2 linked regions of the Mus musculus genome follow. The protein of the gene in region 1 purifies or fractionates together with the protein of each later gene. This does not show direct contact. Links are inferred from orthologs where the notes say so. Each region holds a gene or a part of one and is shown on either strand. Other genes may lie near its edges.

The links. The genes of interacting proteins can lie anywhere in the genome.
Region 2: the proteins of Mki67 (region 1) and Ifi204 purify together in Homo sapiens (affinity purification with mass spectrometry; 3 studies listed by BioGRID and IntAct, with this or other methods). This does not show direct contact. The link is inferred for Mus musculus from reciprocal best matches to the Homo sapiens genes MKI67 and IFI16.

The regions. Positions count from the first base shown.
Region 1 is NC_000073.6:135,699,368-135,702,889, forward strand, and holds part of Mki67 (proliferation marker protein Ki-67), read right to left. Parts: intron 2,691-3,522; coding exon 2,535-2,690; intron 1,701-2,534; coding exon 1-1,700. UniProt on the Homo sapiens protein: Protein that associates with the surface of mitotic chromosomes and acts both as a chromosome repellent during early mitosis and chromosome attractant during late mitosis.
Region 2 is NC_000067.6:173,746,781-173,749,929, reverse strand, and holds the end of Ifi204 (interferon-activable protein 204), read left to right. Parts: intron 1-546; coding exon 547-735; intron 736-2,309; coding exon 2,310-2,330; 3' UTR 2,331-2,637; downstream 2,638-3,149.

The DNA.
Region 1 (3,522 bases):
CCTCCTCTTATGTCCTGTTGAATTTCCTGTGAAATCCAGTTTCTGCTTTGGAGTTTCCATAATGGCTGTGGTGCCATTTCCTTCCTGCATTGGTGCTGGTGTGCCTGCGTCTCTGCCTCGTGACTGTGTTTGTTTCTCAAGTATGGAAAGTTCTTTCATATCCACTTTCATGAGACTCATCTTAGACCGTCTCTTTGTGCTTGCCGGGGTTTTGACTGGTTCTGCTTGTGAAGATTCCAAAGATATCTTTGCACTTTCCTCAACAGTCACTGAGTCACTGGCACCAGCTGGTGTTTGGAAGAGTTCTTGGAAGCCATCCAGGTCTTCTAGGGGCTGAGACCTGTTCTTAGATGTTCGTGACCTTCTCTTACTCCCTGATGAATTCCCTGCAAAATCCAGTTTCTGCTTTGGAGTTTCCATGAAGGCTGTGCTGTCATTTTCTTCCTGCACTGGTGCTGGTGTGCCTGGGGCTCTGCCTGGTGACTTCGTTCTTTTCCCAAGTGTTGAAGGTTCTTGTCTCACATCCACTTTACTGAGACCTGTCTTGGAGAGTCTCTTTGTGCTCGCTGGGGTTCTGACTGGTTGTGTGTGTGGAGATTTGCTGGGAATTTTTTTGATTATGTTAGTAGGAACTGGTGATATAAAGAGTTCCTGGAAACAAGTCAGGTCTTCCAGGGGCTGAGCCTTTTTTTTAGATTTTTCTAAAGTCCTCTTGCTTCCATTTACTGTTGAGGTCAGCATTTCATTTTCAGATTGCTTCAAAGCTTTGATATCCTCACACTCAAGTTTTAAAATTTTGGGATTATGCCTGGATTCCCCTGGCATATGTATACGTTTTGTCAAGGCAGAGCTTTCTTCCTTCATGTCTACTTTCTTCCCAGATGTGCTAGTCTGTGGCTTTGTGTTTGTTGTGATATTCTCTGTTGTGACTTGTGGTGATTTGCAAAGGACTCTAGTTCTGTCTTCCGTTATAGGTTTATCTTTGGGGTTTGGTGTTTCAAAGTGTTCCTTGAGACCAGCTGGCCCTTCTAGAGGTTGTGCCTTTTTGCCAGGGGTCTTTGGCGAGTGCTTCTCTTTGGTTGCATATACTATTATGTTCACTTTCTTTTCTGTAATTCCTTGATCCTCACTTATTGATGTGTTTTGCATGTGCATGGATTCCTCTAGGTTTTGTATGGTTCCTTGTCCTTGACTAAGTAGTTCCTCAGCATAGTCTGCTGTTTGGGTGACCATCTGACTTCCTAGTAAGTCTTTTGTCGGCTTCTGCTTCCTGGCACTTGATCTCCTAGCTGATGTCTTTTCTGAACCTTCACTTAATTCACCACTTTCCTTGCATCTTTGAGGAGCGTTTTCATTGTCCTGCACCTGTTGATCTACTTTTTGTTCTCGAAATGTCCCCCTTAAATGTCTTGCTGTGGTGTTCTCAGCAAGGACTGCTTCTGTTTTTTCATTCATAGTTTCCACAAGGGTATGTCTGAGCTCTCTAGATCTTCTTAACTTGCTCACACTCGATGCAGTCTTCAGGGGCTCTGTCTCAGAGACCGGAGTCTTCTTCTCAAGGTCAGTAATGTTATGGACATTCTTAGGAGTTTGCACTGTGTTTTCATGTTTGATGCTCCGCCGTCTTAAGGTAGGACTTGCAGAATATCTATCAGACTGCTGCTTTGCTGCATTCCGAGTACTGGATAGCACTTTTTCTCCTATAAGAAAGAAAAATATATACATAAAAAAATGTATCATTTTTCACCACCTAGTATCAGCTTATTATTTTATCTTTAGGAAGTATATAAGAACCAATAATTTAGCTTCTTTTCTACCAAGCAGTTCCTAGATGATCTCGACCCTGTTCTATTTATGATCTATTAAATATTATTTGGTAACAGAGAAGAGCCATTGTGAAGTATCCTTAAGAAGGGTCCTCTAAAGCCTGCCAACATGTGTGACATGGACCTGAATACAGGCAATATTTTTTCTGAAACAGTCACTTATTATCTTGATTCACTAATGAAGTAATAGATTCTACTGTACTTGTTTAATATCCAAATCCAATTCTGCATGGAAGCAGTTGTGACCCTCCTACCTCCTTCCAAGTCCTTGAATTAAAGCCATATACTACAAAGTCTCTGCAATGCTATAGACGTAGCCCAGAGTTTCCCAAATGCCAGGCAAGCACTCTACCAATCGAGTTACATCTCTATCCTTGCAATAATTTTTATTTTGTGTAATTTATATATAAACATAGCAGGACAAGTGTACTGTTTGTATCTCTTTCCTCCTATAACGAAGAAGTTGAAAGCAATACAGACACCATTTAGACTTACTAACTGAGTGAATAATACTTCCTATCAAGCTAGGTCAATGATTAAGGCTTAGAAAATTGCAAAGTCTGCTTGAAAACAGAACAGAGAAAGTGGAAACGGCATTTCACCAGGAAAAGCTATTGTAGAGAAGGAACCCAGTATTGTCTATAAAGAAAAGGCAGTCTTCAAGTCTCCATTCCAAAGTTTAACATTGGAAAAGACAAATAAACCAACCCAAAATCTCTGTGGTGATGGGCTCAGGTATGTCTCCTGAATTAGTTACTTGCAATTGTCTTTCAGACAAATTCGCTGAATTGGAAAGTACGGAGCCTGTATCACTCATCTGCTGCTGCTTCTCCTTCACTGGAGTCTTGAACATTTCAGTTAGTCCTGATAAAGGAAAACATTGGAAACATGGCTTACATTATCTCATTCCCCATGCAAAACAATGTAGATGACAAAAACAAGTTTTCAGATTCCAGGTATGCATCATCTCATTAAAATGTTGATTTTTGTTAATATGCTCGTAAAAATTAAAGAAAACAAACAAACAAACAGACAAACCCAACAACACATAGAGCCAACTTCTCTAACCCTCTCCTATGGAAAAGGAAATCCAGTGATTTAGTTGACCTCTGTCATTTTCTAAACTAGTTCCCCAAAACAAGCCCCAGCAAAGGGACAAAATTTAGGTATGGGTACCTCTCCTCGGAGTACTGATATCTGGAAATCCATGACCCAGGGGCCTTGTTATACCCTCAAGAAGTTTCTCAGATCTAAATCCTAAGTACAAATAATACATTTCTACAGTTTAGAATACTGACACAACACTGACCATTTTCAGGCTCATCAAGAACACACACTCGCGCGCACACACACACTCTAATCGAAGTATCATCCCTCCCTACTCACGTTGACATCAGAAAGGCCGTAGTGACATAATTCCATATGGATGACTGAGCTCCCTGAAAAGCTCAAGTGTCATGCTTCTGTCTGGTTGGCTCCAAAGAATGAGAACTTGAGCTGGCATTCGCCACAGAATGGGTCTGGGAACTGTTGAAGTGTCTATCTGAACTTGCCTGTTCAAAGTCTCCTTTTTCCATAGCCTTCAGGGCCTTACTTGCTTACTTGAAACATCAGGGTTTACCTTCGAATGTTTTAAAATGGAAGCTGCCAGGCCAGGCATGGTAGCCCTAAGAAAGCAGGGGTAGGCAGATCTCTT
Region 2 (3,149 bases), on another chromosome or scaffold:
TATTCTGATATGTTACCACAAGTGCTTAGAAAGATACTGATTTTTTCTAAAGATACCCAGCAGATAAAGACCACATGCAGGTAAAGCTTCAGAGGGGTTTCCAAGGCTGGAGAGATGGTTCAGTCAACTAAAGGCTAGGCTCACAAATAGAATATCAGGAGTGATTTCCAAGAAAAGATGTGTTCATTGGAACAGCCTAAACTATTTAGTTCCTGTAATTTTACTTTTTCAGAATGTATTTCTTTTGTCTATGAGGACTGAGAAGAAACACAAAGGTCATGAAACTAATAGGAAGGCAAGGTTCAGAAATGAGTTCTCTCCTTCTACCATGAGTCCCGGTCATTGAACCAACCGAGGTCATCAGGTTTGACCACAAGCACCCTTGCCCACTGAGCCATCTCATTGGCACTTGTACCTCCAATTCTAAACCTAAGAACCATAGTTGCCTTGTGGGAGACAGGTTTATGTTGACACATTTTAGTTCTCATAGATGTGACAACCTTTGGCATATTTCCTAGAAGATTCAATGTTAATTTGCTTTTTCAGAAAACGGAGAGGAATAAATTCATTTACTATGGAATTGGAGATGATACAGGGAAAATGGAAGTGGTGGTTTATGGAAGACTCACCAATGTCAGGTGTGAACCAGGCAGTAAACTAAGACTTGTCTGCTTTGAATTGACTTCCACTGAAGATGGGTGGCAGCTGAGGTCTGTAAGGCACAGTTACATGCAGGTACGTGCTCTAGGAAATACCAGTCTTCCTAAGAATCACATACTTTTTGTTTGCTTGTTTTTGTTTTTGTTCTTGTTTTTTGTTTGTTGTTTGTTTGTTTGTTTGTTAATTTCGAGACAGGGTTTCGCTGTGCAGCCCTTACTATCCTGGAACTTACTCTGTAGACCAGGCTGGACTGAAACTCAAAAATGAGCCTGCCTCTGCCCCTGGAGTGCTGGGATTAAAGGCATGCACCACCACTGCCCAGTGCTTTTTAATACTCTAGTAAAGGATGAGTATTGGTAATACATGGAAAATCAAATAGGTAGAGGAAAAATTAAGGATTGCTCATTTAACATATAAGCTTCATTCCATTACTTTTAATAAGAGTTTCTAAACATAACAAGGAAAACAAATGCAGAAAGACAAACATTTTTATATGTTTAACTAATTGATTTAAAAGAAAACTATCAGATTTTTCAAAACAGAGAGTACATTTGACAGGAAAATCAAGGTGTTTGTTTCAAATTCTGACTCTAGTTTTTCAAGTTGACCAAATACTAAAACACAACCTCAGAGTATTCATTTATAAGATGCCAATACTTTCTGTTGCAGAGGATTGTGGACAAAATCATAAGTCCCCAATGAAGCCTTGAGGAAATGAGATGACAAGGAGATGCAGTAAATGTCCACCCACAATAAGCTAGTTCAAAGAACACGCCACACCACTCAGTTATAATACTTATAAGCTGCACAGCTAGATTACACAGATATACCACTAAACAACTCTTTTACCCAGCTATGAGATCCCTTGCTATTCGTGGCTTCTCCAGGCCACATGGCTCTGCCCCATCTTTCTTCCACCTCCTATTCCTCCTCCTTCCTCTGTCTCCTCCTGCTCATCTACCTCTCTCTTCTCTTCAGGCTCTCTAATACCTCCAGCCTCAAATTTCCCTTCCACTGCCAAATCACTGATTCTACTTTTTATTTGACATGGTAAAATGGGGAGAAGGTTCACATGAAATCACCTAAGTATATAATCTACTCCTTGTTGGGGCAGCTCCTCTTGAAAAAAACAGGATTAACATCAAAATACAAATAGCACGAGGCAATCCAAAACAACAAGGTGCGAATATCCACCCTCCTCTTCATATTTACAAACATCTGTGTGGTTTTCTATTTAAACACACAGACACACACACACACACACACACACACACATCACTATTATAATGTAAAGAAAAGAAACATAAGTGATAACTTCTTCACGTAGAAATGCTCTTAAACTACCAGTGTTCTCTAAACCATCAGCCATTTGCCAAAACTCCAATCCTCCTTACCTCAGGAATTGCAACACTTTCCTTTTCCCTGTACCTCTGTAACACACCCTGCACTTTGAACATTGCTCAAGCTGTAGGAGTAACTTGCTAATTTTACAATTCCAAGCAAGAGAACAAAGCTGACTCCAAGAACAGAGATGTATTTAAGGTCAGAGTGAGAAAAGGGCACATGGCACTCATGGTGAGTAGTCAGCAAGAAAGGTGTGGACCCCACTGCATTCCAAGTGATCTGACTTCATTGTTTTCTTCTTTAAGGTCATCAATGCTAGAAAGTGAAGGAAAGCCACTCAACCCAGACTCAGTCGGGAGAACCTCTCTGGAACCATACTTCTGAAAACCTGAATGCCAATGATATTTTTTTGTGGAGATAAGATTCAATTACAGAAAATAAATGTGTATAAGCCTATTGAAATATCAGTCCTATAAAGACCATCTCTTAATTCTAGGAAATGGTGTTTTCTTATATTCTTTACACATTTTCTATATCTAAATTCATTTGTTGTCTCTATAACTTCTATAACTGTTCAATTTGCAATTTTTATGCCTAAAACTTATAAAAATAAATTCACACAATTTCTGTAAAGCAGTGTGCCTTTGGGAGTATCATTTAAACATTTGAGATGTGCTTAAAAATAAATAGTTAGTGGTCCTCAGGTAAAGCTGGAGAATACAGACACCAAATGTGATGTGTAAGGACAAAGCATGTTCAGGAGCAAAGATGTCTATTCTGCCCATTAATGTCAAGGTATTAATAAGATGTGGGAGAAGGTAGAACTCAGCCTTGAGTATAGTTCCAAAAATAATATGCTGAGAACAGGATCAAGTCTTCACACCAGCTATGCTGAGTAATGTGAGTGCGTTATAGAGTTTAGATATTGGAAAAAAATCCCCAGAATGAGGTGTTTACGGTGGGGCATAGTATTTTTAAAAGTAAGGAATCCCATCTTCAATTCCAGAGTCAAATAAAATAACTGCAAATCTTTAAAGCCAAATAAAGAAGGATTATGATAAAGGAAATCAAGGGAATTAAGAAATTGATATTCTCCCAGAGGTCTTTCTAGACTATTGCTTACATTTCTCTCTGCTGTGAAGACT